Elephas maximus indicus: one gene and its partner. Each later gene encodes a partner of the first gene's protein in a complex. Links are inferred from orthologs where the notes say so. Each region holds a gene or a part of one and is shown in the gene's direction. Other genes may lie near its edges.

Region 1 (7,682 bases):
GCGTTTTTTTTTTTTTTGGGTACTCTTGCAAATGGTCTCATTTTAAAAGTTTAATTTTTTATGTTGAAATTGACATTTAAAGATCAATATCTAAATCTTAGCTTCATACATCCCATCTGAGCAATTGATACTTACTAAATACCAATGACAAAATCTAAGGCTTGGTGCATCTTCCAAACCACCTGGAATGAAGTCATAGGGCTTTACAAACTGAGCACCTGGGTTGAATGAGGGACAAGTTCCAGTTAAGAATTAACCAAAGCAGCAAGAAATTCTAATAAGTCACCCGATGGGCATTGTGCTTAGAAAGTAGAGGCTGGTAGAGTGGCAGCTTTGCAGGTTAAGGGAGAAGCTGAGGTGCCTTAGGGCTCCCCTTACTTGAAAGTAAGGCCATTACTTGACTGCAGTTTGGGATGGCAAAGGAGACATTAGGGAACATCGACCTGCTGGAGTGAGGTTAAGGAGGGCAGTTTCCCTCCTGAACTTTGAAGTAAGCTCCTCTCTGAGTTAAACCAGTTACACCCATCCACAATGGCTGCAATTAGCCATTTATGGCAGTAGGCCAAGAGACTGTTGTAAATGAGTCACTCAAGAGTTTGCAGACACCCATGGCCCCCATCAAGGAGATCTGGGTCAACTTCAGAGCAGAAGCCAGCCAGTCTGTGGTTATAATTTAGTGAGTGGACTTCTAATCAGTGATGTCCTACTATCATTAGAGAGAGGGACCAGAGGGGCTGGTCAGCCGGGGCAGCCTGAGCAGAACTTTGGAGTCCAGGTCCCAGGTTTCTTCAATGCCAGTTCTGCCCCCACTGGGAATGTCTTGGGCCATTTACTTAACCTTTCCAAGCCTCGGCTCCCTCCTCTGGAAGAGGCTAAACCTGCCACACAGTGAGTGCTGTTGTTATTGGAGGCCACCTGAGACTGTCCCTGGTGAGAGAGTCTTGGCAAGAAAGAGCCAGAAAGGGGACTGTTGAGATGGGTGGGCTCCACCCCAGATCTACCCATGAGGCTACTGCCTAATTCTCCAGGTTCCCCTGCCTGCTTCCTGGGGCAAAGGGGCCATCGGGCCGAGTGCCTTCTGACCTCTGAGAGGCCTTCTCCCTGTGAGTGGACAGACTGGCCATCTGCATTTGCAGATCAGTCATGAGACATGTTCACAAAGCTGTCCTGGCAGGCGGATCTGTTCTCGAGCATCCCTGTCTGCAGGGCTGAGGAGTGCTGCTGGCTGGGGTGGTGAAGTCCTCCAGGTGAATGGCCATCTAGCCATGTTTTTTTTTAAATTTGTTTTTATCATGTAATATTGCAGACAGAGAATGAAAGTATAGGTGACATGCCACTGCACACCTTCCCCACAGCCCAGCATTGAAACCATGGAGTCTTGATAAAACTTGTATTTGTGTGTCTCATGCTTTTTCCTCATTTTATTGCTTAATAAATTAAAGGCCCCACAAACCTGCTGGCCTGGGAAGCAGCACTTATGCTCACAGCCTGGCACATTTGCCAGTAGCGAGGGTGTGCAGCCCTGGGATCTTAACTCTCTTTTGTAGCAAACCTGACCCATGTTCCAACGCAGCATTTGTGGTCACATATCACACGTGTTTCATCCCTCTCTCCTCTTTTCACGCTAGATGTGAGTTTCCCTGCAAACCACAGAAGCCAAGATGCTTTGTGGCCCCAAGTGAAGCCAGATGGAAATGGTCAGAGGCACTTGGCCTGAGTCCCCAGGGCGGAAGAGTTGGCGAATATTCGCCCACCTCTGCCCCATCAGGAGAGAACTGCTGGGTGGGCAGTGCTCTCCAGGTGAAGCAGAGCTGACCTCTCAAAGTGTGCTGTCTGTCTGGGGAGTAGCAGAAGACCCTCCGGGAAGGGAGGTGAGCTGGGTGGGTACAGAGCCATGACCTTACTACACTTCCTGCGACTGCTGGACTTGAGGTTGTTCCGGCAGACTCTGACGTGACGTCGGGAAATGTATCGATGCTGGAGCACACCCTGACTAGGAGAAGCCCCCAGGCAAGCCTGGTGGCAGAAGGCTGGTCAGACGCTGAGCTGGAGGCCAGCCCATATGGAGCCCAGCTGGCTGGAGGGAACTGACAGGAGCAAGGCCTCAGTGCTGAGCACCCACTGTACCCCAACTCACCCCATGTCTTCACCTTTCCTTTAGCAGAGCTCTCACTCCTGCATTGGCAGACCTGCAGATGTGAGAGCCCAAGTTCCCTGAGCCTGTGACGGGGCCTCACCCTGGTATGGTGACACCTTCATGGGGCACTGAGTCCTGCCTGTGGACTGGCTGCTGCTATTCCTCTGCTCCTGACTCTAAATTCTGAGGGGCTGCACACGGGGCTGGCACCAGGCAGCTGATGGGTTTTGTCTGGTCTACTTCAAAATGTTCTAAATAGTTGTCAACATTTAAAAATTGAGAGATTTTCACAAGACTCCATATTTCTTCTATTGTTTGAAGATTCAGACCACCTGCCCTGCTGAGGTCTTCTTAGCTCCCGGCTGCCCCTTGGATACTGGGACAGGTCCCCAGTGGTCAGTCCCTGGTGCACCCTGGGGCCTCCTCAAACCCAGCTCATTTTATTCCTCTACTTTCCTGCCTGACCTTTCTACAGCAGAGCCGAAAAATACCTGAATGAATCACAAGGGCTAGGCTAAGATCTTTATTTGTTTGAGTTTACTTTCAAAGTTTCAGGATATTTCTGAAGCCTTGCCTTCTGGGGGCTAAAACTCAGGTTTAAAATTCAAAACACTCCCCACCCCCTGCCCAGACACCTTTCCTTGGTTCCAACATCCGCTATGATTATCTACTGCTGCTCTCAAGAGAAAAAACCTGGAGAAAAAATCGTGTGTTTGTTATCAATAGGTCGGTTAGGTTGAAAGGTTGCAATAGGAACACACACACCCACCCACCCACCCACCCCCTTAGGCTCTGTTTTTGAGAGCTGAGCAGTCTCTTTTGTGAAGGCAGTTAGAAAAATCATTTACTATGTCAACACTGGCTGTGCTGAGACTGGTGTTTACTGTGGTGACTGTCTCTTCAGCAATAAAGACAGGTCCTGTGATTCCGTGTTGCCAGTGACTGAGAAAGCAGTTCTCTGCGGAAACTGTTTTGGGCTTTTACAAAAAAAAAAAGAAAGAAAAAAATCAGAAAACCATTAAAAATCTCCAATAACACGAGTCTTTTGGTTAAAAAAACCAAAACAACTCAGAAAAAGGGAACTTTAATATTTTTGTAGAGGGGCTCCTAAACATCATTTTGGGTCATTTACCTCTCCCTCCCCTGCCCAAAGTAAATAAAGAGCAGAAAAGTACTTCCAAAAGCCATTGCTTCATACCAGCGAATTTTATTTTGTACCTGGTCTACTTACCTTTCTGTCTGGGGGAGGGGTCTGTGGTCATTACATGGCAGTCACCTTTGAGCCTCAGAGTCCCATCCCCCGGAGAACTTCGTTTATTGACTTAAAAGTGGAGGGGAAGGCCCACGGTAGTCCCAGCTGGAGGGTAAGCAGGGGAGTCCGCGCAGACTCGGTTCCCAGGACCCGCCAGTCTGGCCAGCCCCGCAGCCCCCCAGCCCCAGTTCCCACGCGTTCCCCAGCATTGAGGGTAGAAGGCTGCTTGCACCCAGCCGAGTGCGATCATGTTTTACTGCAGGAGAAATAGCCCTCAGGGTGCCAGCGCGCACGATGCCGGCCCGCCCTCCGGTGACCACCACCGGCGAGGGTCGCCCCTCTGTACACATCTGTCCCCGCCCTGCCCCCTCTGTCCGCCGGATGTCACCCATCCCGGTGATCGCGTCTGGCCGGTAGGCCTCGTCCACCCACTGGTGCCTCAGAAGCGGCTACCGGGGGGTGTCCAGGCGCTCTTGCGGCCCTCACGGTGCGCGTTTGGTGGTCCCTGCTTTAAGCGGTGCCGCCAAGACCTCGGCAGGCGGCGGGGGTCTCCGGGGCGTGCACCTGCGCCCCTCCGGCGGCGCTTCCCCGTGCGTTTGCCGGGGTCTCCCGGCCCCGGCTCCCCTGGCCCCCCGCCGTCCTCCCGAGCACCGCCGGCCTGCACGCCCGGTCACGGCGTCGGCCCGGAGCCTCGCCCGCTGGCGGGGAGCAATGGCGGCCGAGCCGGGGTGCTGCTCTCCGCCACCGCTCCCGGGCCCGCCCGTGCTCCCCGTGGCGCCCGGCGCGGCCTCCCGAGCTCTCCAAGCGGCGGCAGCGGGGCGGACTGCCCGGCCGCCCCTCGTCGCTCCGTCGCCCGCCAGCCCGCCCGCTCTAGTCAGCTTCGGCCGCAGCCATTTTGGAACGAGCGGAGACAAAGAGCTGGCCGCCGCCGCCGCCGCCACCCCCGGCCGGCCTCGTCCGTCCCCGCAGTCCGTCCCGACCCGGCCGTCCGCCCCCCGCACCCGCCGCCCGGCCCCGAGCTCCAAGCCCACCGGCCGCCCGCCCTCGCCCCGGCCTCTAACGCTTGCAGCCATTTGTCGCGCCTTTTAAGCGCGCGCCGCAGCCAATGGGCGCCCGCCGGGCGGCGGGGCGGGGGCGGTGCGCGCGGCTGCGCCTGCGCACTGGCGCCCGCCCGCGGCCCCGCCCCGCCCCCCCGGCCGAGCGGCGGCGGCGGCGGCGGCCGAGGAAAAAAGATGGCGGCGGGCTCGGATCTGCTGGACGAGGTCTTCTTCAACAGCGAGGTGGACGAGAAAGTGGTGAGCGACCTGGTGGGCTCGCTCGAGTCGCAGCTGGCGGCCAGCGCGGCCCACCACCATCACCTGCCGCTGAGGCCCGACGCGCGGGCCGCGGCCGCCGCGCTCGGAAACCACGCCGGGAGCGCCGGCGCCGAGGCCGCCCCGCCGGAGCGGCCCGCAGCAGGTAGCCGGGGCCAGGCGGGGCGGGCTGTCAGCGCGGCCGCCGCGCGTCCTCACCGCTCTCTCCTTGTTGTTGCAGGGCCCGGAGCCGCCAGCCACGGCGCCGCGCGCCCGCCGCCGTCCGAGGGCCCCGCGCCCGCCCCGGCGCCCGCCCCGGCCCCGGCCGCCGCGGGCCCCGAGCCCGGCCCCGCCGCCAGCCCCGCCGCGGGCCCGGCCAAGCCTGCCGCCAGCCCCGCCGCGGGCCCCGCGCTGCGCGCCGGCAAGCTGGGCGGCCCCGGCGCCGTGCAAACTTTGAATGGGAGCAGCGTGGTGGTGAACTCGCTGCGCGCCGCGCCGCCGGTCAACAACGGGCCCGCGGCCGCGCCGCCCCCGGCCAAAGCGGGCGCTGTCAGCGCCGCGCAGCCCGCCGGCTCCGTCATCCAGGCCGCCGCCGCCGCCGCCGCGTCCCCCGCCGCCCCGGCCCGGCCGTCCGGCACGCCCGCGGGACCCCCGGCCGCCGCCGCGCAGAACGGGAGCAGCACTGGGATCGGCGCGGCGCTGGGCGCGGGGGGCGCGCCGGCGGGGGGCGCCGCCGCCGCCGCGCCGGCCCTGCAGGCCGCCCCTCTGGTGAACAGTCAGCCGGCGCCCCCCGCGCCCCCTGCCGCCGCGCCGCCGGCGCAGGCCGCCAAGGCCGAGTCCCCGAAGACCTCGGTGCCCGCGGCGCCCCCGCCGCAGACGCTGCCGGCCAGCTGTCCGGCGGGCGCGGGAGCAGGCGTGCTGCTCGGGCAGACTGTGCCGCCGGCCGGCCCCCCGCCCGCGCCCGGCGCCCCCGCCGCGCTGCCCAAGGGCGCGGCCGCCCCGAGCCTGCCGCCCCGGACTCCCACGGCCGCCGCGCCCGGCCTCCGGGCCACCCTGACGCCCACCGTGCTGGCCCCGCGCCTGCCGCAGCCGCCGCAGAACCCCACCAACATCCAGAACTTCCAGCTGCCCCCAGGTGAGTGGCCGCCCCCCGCGGGCAGGGGCGGGTCTGCGAGCCGCGGAGTTCCGGGAAGTACCCCTACTCACTCACGGAGACGCTAAGGTCACCTGTGTCCTACAGGGCGGGCGGCGATTTATTTGGCTGCGGTGTAGGGGCTGGGGCTGCACAGGTGTAGTAGCCTCTAAAAAGGTGTTGTGGCAGCCCGGGCTAGGGCTGTGTGCATGTATGTACACGTGTGTGTAGGTACATGTATGTGTTTGTGTACACTTGGATATGTGTGTACATGCTCGGGTGTGTGCATAAATTACCTGCTTATGTATCTGTGTGTACGTACACCTGTGTGTATATACATGTATGTGTGTGTATGTCTGTGTGTGTTTATGTATATCTGTGTTTGTAGGTACTTTTGTGTGTATACAGGCATGAGTATACGTCCATGTATACTTGTGTGTGCTTATCTACCCCGTGGGTGTGTACACACCTCTGTGTGTGTAGAGTTCCTCTGACTAGGTATGTACACTCACGTGTGTATGTATACCTGCGTGTATGAGTGTATGTACACCCGAGTGTATACGTACATCTGTGTGTACCCGTGTGTGTAACGTACCTCTGTGTACGTGCGCTTGTGTGTGTATGTACATCTGCATGTAGGTACACGTCTGTGTAACACACCTTTCTCTGTACCTGTATACCTGCATCTGTAGGTACCCTTGTGTGTGTGCATGTACTTCTGTGTGTGCTGTGTGTATATCATACCTCTGCATAGTACACCTCTGTGGGTGTGTGTGCGTATGCATGCCCAGTGCAGCTGTGGGTTTCCCACCCGTGACGTCCTGGTCTGTCACTGCGTGTCCTGCATTGCTTGTTTGGTTGTGGCAGACTCGCAGTTGGGTGGCTGGCCCTGCGTGCCCCTGCCCCCATGGGCAGCAATAGCAGCGATTGCAGGGACAGGTTGTCCAGAGGTTGGGCGTCACGGGAGCACAGTGTACTTGGAGCTTGGGTGGTCAGGCTTCCCCTTCCTGGTGTCTGGCCTGTGTCCCCACCTGGCTCCTTCCTGCTCCTTTACCATCTGGCTCTAGAGGTCCCGACAGTGGGCTGGAGAGACCCCTCCTAAAGGTGCTGTCGCAGCAGGGTGGCCTCTCTCTGGGAGCTGGCGAGGTGTGCACTCTGCCTGCGGTGATGGGGCCCCCTACACTGCAGCCTCCCGTTCAGCCTGAGCACAATCCTCCCGGCACATGTCCTTCCTGGTCGCGTCCTTGTCTGAAAACCATGCTTGAGTATCATCTTAGCTGGACTTGTTACGCTGTCAGTATTTTCAGTTCAGCAGAGACACTGTCAGGACTGCCTGGTTAGTTGTGCAACTCTGGAAGCCGTTGGTGGTCAGAGGCTCTCCAGACGCTCCAGTGGGTCTGAGAGTGGTTCAAACCCAGAACATTTGCAGAGGGAGGCTCTGGGGTCAGCAGCTGCCTCAGCCTTCAGCGTCTCGCTGCACAGGCTGCCGCTGGCCCTGCAGCTGAAGTTTGACAGTGAGGGATTCCCTCAGCAGCCAGCCTGGGGCAGGTCTTAGAAGGAGTCGCCTCCTCCTTCCCATCCACTCCCCCAGCTTCAGGACTGTGGGCTCGGCCGAGGCTCCGCCCTCACGGGTCACATGGGTGGGTCCAGTTGTAGTAGAGGGTGGCAGTAGTGAAGACAGCACTGCCCATGCTGCCCCCGCCCCCCGCCCCCGCAGCCCCTCCTGCTCTCTGGAGCAGGACTTGTCGCTTTGGAACAATTTTGGAGTTTTAGAAGAGGAGGAGGGTTAACCTGTCAGAGGGTGAGGGTGGGACGGGTGCTAAACTGCCAATGGGGTCCCTTGCTCCCTTCTTGCTCGGGAGGTTTACG
Region 2 (6,905 bases), on another chromosome or scaffold:
GAGAAGGTTTAGGGTCTGTGAACTCTCCCTTTGAAGACAGCATTTGTGAATGGGTTGCTAACTCATGAGTAAGAGCTTTTCTCTGCTTTAATTAGGAAGAACCCATTGTAAGGCAGTCAGCAGAAGGTTGACTGATGGCACCATGTCCAGCATGAAGTAATATCATTTGCGAGGACACTGGTAACTGTCCACATGCTCATTTACTCAGGACAGATTTGCTCTGCAGCTTAGAGCAACACCACCCTTCTCAAACTCCTTTTTATCTTTGTGCTCTGAGAAATCTACTTGTCATTGGGTTCAAGACTGGTGGAAGGAACTCTTGGTTGGATCTGGGTAATTGCCGATGGGTCAAATCAGCTGAAAACACCCACTCTCCCTAGGGGGAGCCAAAGGAGTCAAGGACGGTAGTATGATGCAAGCCACAGGCCTGGCAAGTCACGGTGTCTGTGCCAATGTCACTTGGAAGCCTCCCACCCATGAAAGAATGCTGGGGGCACATACAGCTTTTAGTTCGAGGCACGAAGAAAGCAAAGTCCCATTTATTTCCCAGTGATCTAATTTCACTTTGGTCTTGAAGAACAGGTAAAGAACAAAATTGCAGATGACAAGAATGGAAGCATGAAGTCAAAGCTCCCCCTACCCATGGTTACATTCACGTGTAATATTATCAATAATATTATCAAAAATAGTGTATTCAAGCTGCAGAAGTTAGAAAAGGAATTCTAATCAGCTTTATTGGCTTCAAGTGGAAAACACTTTAGAAAATAAGACCATGTCACCAGAAGACACTCTCACGAAGTCTATAAACACTGTTGGACCAACTGCAGCATCTGCCCAGAGACCATCCTTCTTATGGTCCAGTGAAGTTTACCAATGGGGGCATACTTCTAACCCTAAATCTGCACCTCTCAAAATTCAGTCTAAGGTTTAGAGGAAATGAAACCAAGCTCTTAGCTGCAGCAGCATCAAGGAAAACAGAAAATGTTAATCACTGATTCTGATTAAGAGGAGAACTAGTATGTATTTCTCACGAGGCGTAACAGACACTCAAGTATCTCCCAGTAACATATGCATAGTGAAGGTCCTGTTGTCAAGATTTGAAAATATCTTGCTGGGAAAAAAGATTTATGGACATCAGCAGGCACCCCCTCCATATACTTGGCAAAATATACACTACACAATCATTTTGTTCTCACTGGAAAACCAGACTGCACTTTTCAGTACACGTAGCCATTTCTTCAGAGGGTCCCACAGGCCGTCTCAGTACAGGTGAAGCCTGCTGTAGAGCCTGAGACACACCGTAATGGTGAGCAGTCCCCCTTCTGCAGATGGGGGCAGCCAAAGGACAGCAGTGGCTTCTCCTACTTATCATCTGCTCCCTGGATATTTTCAGGGCCCCACCAGCTGATGCTGATTACATACACAACACTTTACATAACTTTGGGAATAAGGGAACCAGTGAGCATCTCAGGCAGTGACTCAGGACTACAAAATAAGAAGTTCAAAGCAAGTTTAATAGCTTTAATGCACAATTTAATTTAAAGGCATTTGTTTTATACCCACCCATCTGCTCAACTTTGAAACCTTCCTCCACGTGGTAGAGTAGCAGTACTCCTTAGTTCTGGGTCGCTGGAACTAGGGAACTGCTCAGATATAAAGGGCACTCGGGTACACGAAACCAACCCCGTTGTTTGTTTCTCTGGACCCACTTTGCTCAACCCCATACAAAACTGTTTGCTAACCCAATTCTGTGCTCAGCACTCATTTGGACGTGAGAAATTATGATACAAACACAAACGTGTCCCACCCCAAATTCCACAGGACTGACAGCATTTGGAGACTCAAAGTTCACGGAGATTAAGTTGTGCGGCATTGAAAACACCAGGCCAGCTCCTCTCCTCCACTGTCTCAAGAGGGGAGAAAGGCCTTGGCCTCCCTGATTTTCTGCTTCACCCCCCTGCAGGACAAAGCCAGCCCGGCGTGGTGGCGCTTGAGGGATTCCAGGCGCTGGTTGAGCAGCTCCGTCTTTTCCACCTTTTCTTCCATGTCCTGGAGGAGCAGCTCCTTGCCCAGAAGCCCGCACTTCTGATTCAGCCTGATGTTGTCCATCCGCAGGCTGTCGCGGGCTTGCTTGGTCTTGGTCAGGATGTCTCTCTTCTGGGCCACGCGTGCCTCCATTTCCAAAACCTGGGACTTCTTACACATGTTCTCCATTTCCACGAAGTGTAGCTTCTCCTTCACGTGGGTTATGATCTGCACGTTGTTGATCACCTTGTTACGCAGCTTTAGAAGTTCCTCGTTGCGCTCCTCGACCTTCTCATTGAAGGTCTGGTTCTCGATCTTCAGCTGTTCGAAATCGATGAGGAGCAAGCCCTCGGTCAGGTCTCCCTGGGTCCTCATCCTGGTTTCAAAGTGCGCCAAGCTCTGCTTCAGCTGCACGTTCTCCAGCCTCACGGCGCTCATCTCCTTCTCCTTCTTGTCCTCCAGGGCCTGGATCTGCTCCACCTCCCGCAGGGCGGCCTGGCGCCCGCCTCGCAGCCGGCAGCTGCCCATGGCCTGCAGGACCACCTGCTTCTTCAGGGCCTGGAAGGCGCGCCACGCCTTCTCCACCCTGGCGACCTTCTCCTGGCACTGCTTCTTCAGCTGGATCAGCTCCTGACGGAACCAGTCCAAGTCGTCGGCCTGCTGCTTCTTCAGCTCCTCCAGCGCGGCCAGGTAGCGCAGATACACCTGCTCCTTCTCGGGGGCCTCGGGCTCGGGGGCCTTGTCGGGCGCCTCGGCCGCGTCGAGGCCCTTCTTCCTGCGCAGCGCGTCGTGGATCTTGTGCTGCAGGTGCACGTTGTGGCGCTGGTAGCGGCTGCGCTCCACCAGCAGGGCGCGGTACTGCTCCAGGAGCTCGGCGCGCAGCTTCTGCTCCTGCTGCTTCCGCACCTCCTCGCTCCACTCGCCCTCCCGGCCCGCGCCCCCGCGCAGCTCCTCGGCGCTCCTCGCCCGGCTCCCCTCCGGGCTGCGGCCCTCGCTGGCCTCGCGCTCGTCCCCGCTGGCGACCTCGGGCGGCTGGGCGGCCGCGGGCTCCTCCTCGCCGGCAGGCGGCGGCGAGAGCCGGGGCGCGGCCGGGGCCTCCGCCGCCTCCTCCCGCGGCCCCTCGGAGCCGGCCTCGGAGACCGGCCTGGACGGCTGCTCCCCGGGCTCGGCGTCGTCCGGCGCGGCCTCGGGCTCCGCGGGAGCTCCCGGCTCCTCGGGCGCCGCCTCGGCCGCGGCCCCGCCGTCCGCCGGCCCTTCCACGGCCTCGGGCTCCGCCGCGGCGCCGTCCCCGACCGCAGCCTCAGCCGTCTCGGGCTCGGCGGGCTCGGCCGGCGTCTGGGGGCTCAGGCTCTGCAGGCCCCCGGCGTCCCCAGCGTCGTCCGCCATCTCCAACCCACTGCCGGCGGCTCGGTTTCCAGGGGCAACCGCCGGCGCCCGCCGCGGGCCCGACGATTGGCCAGGAGTCGGCCCGGCGCCCCGCCCCCTCGGCCCGCCTCCCGGTGCGATTCGGCCAATGGGAGGCCGCGAGAGAACGACGGCCAGGTCCGACTGGAGGAGGGCGCCGTCTCGCCCCGCGGGGGGCGTGGCGCCTCCGCCTCATTTCCGCCCCGCCCGTTCGCAGCCCGGGCCTGGGCGGGGCGTCGGGCGTTGGCGGCACCAGGCGGCGACGGCAGCGCGGGCAGTGCGCAGGCGCGGCGGGGTCGGGGCGCGCGAGCGCCTGCGCGGTGCGGCGCGGCGGCGGCGGCGGCCGATGGCGCCTGCGCGCTGAGGAGCGGCTGGGCGCGGCGGCGGCGGCGGCGGCGGCGGCGGCGGCGGCGGCGGCGGCGGCGGCGGCGGCGGTTGCGCGGCGGCGGGGGGCGCGACGGCGGGGCTGTCGGCGGCGCGCCCCGCGGGAAGATGGCGGAGCTCGGCAAGAAGTACTGCGTGTACTGCCTGGCGGAGGTGAGCCCTCTGCGCTTCCGCTGCACCGAGTGCCAGGACATCGAGCTGTGCCCCGAGTGCTTCTCGGCCGGCGCCGAGATCGGCCACCACCGGCGCTACCACGGCTACCAGCTGGTGGACGGCGGCCGCTTCACGCTCTGGGGGCCCGAGGCCGAGGGCGGCTGGACCAGCCGCGAGGAGCAGCTGCTGCTGGACGCCATCGAGCAGTTCGGCTTCGGGAACTGGGTGAGCGGGGGACGGGGACCTCGGGGCGGAGACCCGACCGGGGGACGGGGGCCTCGGGGCGGAGACCCGACGCCTGGACGGAGACCTCGGGGCGGAGACCCGACGCCTGGACGGAGACCTCGGGGTGGAGACCCGACCCCGGGAGGGGGACCCTGGGCTGGGGACCCCAGGCTGGAGACGTTGACTCCTGGGCTGGAGATGCTCACCTCAGGCCCACTGTCAGCTCCCTGGAGGGGCGTCCCAGCTTTGGGCGCTGCTGGGGAAGGCTTCCCCCCGATAGGGAAAAGGACCACTTGACTCACTCATTTCTACTGCACCGCTGAAGGCTGGTAAGGCAGGCACAGCCAACAAATAGCCTGTTTAGAGACGGGAAGACTGAGGCTCAGCAAAGTTAAGGTAATATGCCCGAGACCGCATCGCCAGGAGCTGGGGCTTGCTGACCACAGAGCCCCCTTCCTGACCTTTCAGGACACTTCCAGTAGGGATTTACTGAGTGCAGGCGACGGCAGGACCTGGCATCGTAGCTGAGTAGGGGTCATGGAGGTACGCCTCACCGACTTGACAGAATGGTCAGGAAGGTCAGTGGGAGGACAGCAAGCCTCACAGATACCATGGGGCTTGTCTGCTTTGTGTCTGTGGCTCCCTTTGCTCTCTGTGGTGGTTTGCGCCATGCTAGTGTGTGAGCTTTGTGGGTCCCTACAGTACGCAGGGAGTCCCTGGGTAGTGCACATGGTTAATGTGCTCAGCTGCTAACCAGAAAGTGGGAGGTTCAAGTCCACGCACAGGCGCCTCAGAAGAAAGGCTTGGTGATCCATTTCTGGAAAATAAGCCGCTGAAGACCCTGTGGAGCACAGTCCGCTCTGACACACGGGGCTGCCGGGGGTCACGGTCGACTTGACAGCAGCTGGAAAGATACCCAGGATGCTGTGCAGTGAGTGGTCAGTAAATGGCAAGCAGAGGGTCCTGGAGGAGGAACAGGGGTCCTGGGTGTTTGCCCACCTTACACGTCAGTAAAGACTTTCTCTGTGGAGGAGGAGGTGATAGCTGTTCTGGTTTCACTTACACCGCAGGGTAGCTTGTTGGGCTCCTTGAGAGAGGGAAGCCGGGGGCTCCTTGAGAGAGGGAAGCAGGGGTTCTTCTCCAGATGGGCTCCCAGAAGCTCTCTGTGTCCCAGTGGAGCCTCCGAGCTGGTCCCCATCATTCATGTCTCCAGAGCTCTCCACGTGCCGTGACCAGAGTGACCTTTTAAAAACAAGCTGCATCTTCTTGCCTTTCCCAGGCTCCCAGGTCCATTCAGATTAGACCCCCGGCCAGTGGGGCTCATCGCTCCCCGCCCTCCGGGATCATTCTTTATTTTCTGTCCTACTGCCCTCCCACAGTCTTTTTACTGGATGTCCATGCCTCACCAAGACGCACCCTCCGCACGCCATCTTCCTTCGTGTGGCTAAGGTGCTGGTGGGCTGCAAGCCTGTGAGTGCCTGGCACCTGCAGGTTCTCAGTGTCTCAGGAGACTTCCCAGCAGCCCTGCGTGGGAGCTCCTAACCACACTGTCTGCACAAGAGCAAGATGCTGGAAATGAAGACAAGGGTAGTGTGTTGGAAGAAGCGTGGGCTGGAAGTGGGGAGGCCTTTTCCGAAGTAATCTTTCCCAGGCTTAGTGTGTACACAGGTCACCTGGGGAACCTGTTAAAGTGCTGGGACTGGGTCTTGGTCCCAGGGCGAGGCCTGAATATCTGTATTCCTAACAAGCCTCGGCTGCGTAGACCAGGTAGTGAGGTCTCTTCCTCTCTGGCCGTGCTGTCCTGGGCCAGTCGCTCTGTCCCTGGGTTCCGTTCTTCACCCGAGGCTCTTCTGCAGCTTTGGATTGTGGTTATCTCATGTGCACACGTGTGTACGTGTATGTGCGCGTGAGCGATCATTTTTTAGGACCTGTTTCCACGTGCCAGTCACTGGGCCTGGCTTTTGACACGCGTGTGTTCGTGGTCTTCACGGTTTGTGGTTCCAGTTGAATGACAGTGACTCAGAAGTCGAGCCACTTGTCCAGGGTGCCATTCCTTTTCATGAGGGGGGCAGGGTTTGGACGCGGGCCTGTCTGATTCCAAAGCCTGGGCCTTCGCCCTTTAGGAGCATTCAGTGATGTGGGCCAGGGACTGTGAGCTGTCAGTGCTGCTGAAGGTGTGGGTGGCTGGGAGGGCTGACAGGAGACCACCTCTTGGTGGCTTGGGAGGGTGCATGTGGGCGGGGCACTGGGGGAGGGTAGGGCTGAGTGTGGGTGCACACAGGAGGGGGTGGTGTGGGAATCGAGGCCAGTGATGTAGTTAATGGAGGAGGTCTCCGCCCTGATTTCCCAGCTGCAGGTGATGACACCGACCTGTTTGGTCTGGGATTCACAGAGGATGGAGCTGTGGCTGAGTACCAGGGCAGGGACCGCGGGGCCAGCTGATGAGTGTTAGCAGGAGGCAGCGAGGCTTGGGGACGTGAGCATGCATGTGTCTGCCACCGTGTGTCGGGGCGTCTGTGACGACGAGGCTGTGGTGGAGAGGAGTTGTCAGGTGGACCGTGGCCCGCGGAGTTGGATCAATGGGCTCATTGAGAGCCGCGGCAGCCAGCTCCGGGCACCGTGCAGGACCGGAGCCTTGCGTGACAGCCCTGCTGGACCAGCAGATAGGAGGTGACACGCAGGTGGCCTGTGCTCAGTCTGGGGCTGCAGCCATC

What was found. Proteins that work in one complex are often made in the same cells at the same time.
Region 2: TAF4 (region 1) and TADA2B share a complex: the UniProt entries of both Homo sapiens proteins name them as parts of the TFTC-HAT complex. The link is inferred for Elephas maximus indicus from reciprocal best matches to the Homo sapiens genes TAF4 and TADA2B.

Annotation. Positions count from the first base shown.
Region 1 is NC_064843.1:5,834,593-5,842,274, forward strand, and holds the start of TAF4 (transcription initiation factor TFIID subunit 4), read left to right. Parts: upstream 1-4,592; 5' UTR 4,593-4,621; coding exon 4,622-4,847; intron 4,848-4,922; coding exon 4,923-5,816; intron 5,817-7,682. UniProt on the Homo sapiens protein: The TFIID basal transcription factor complex plays a major role in the initiation of RNA polymerase II (Pol II)-dependent transcription.
Region 2 is NC_064823.1:164,952,094-164,958,998, reverse strand, and holds the start of TADA2B (transcriptional adapter 2-beta), read left to right. Parts: upstream 1-3,865; 5' UTR 3,866-3,921; coding exon 3,922-4,191; intron 4,192-6,905. Other genes in the region: CCDC96 (coiled-coil domain-containing protein 96), read right to left, coding at 1,909-3,411. UniProt on the Homo sapiens protein: Coactivates PAX5-dependent transcription together with either SMARCA4 or GCN5L2.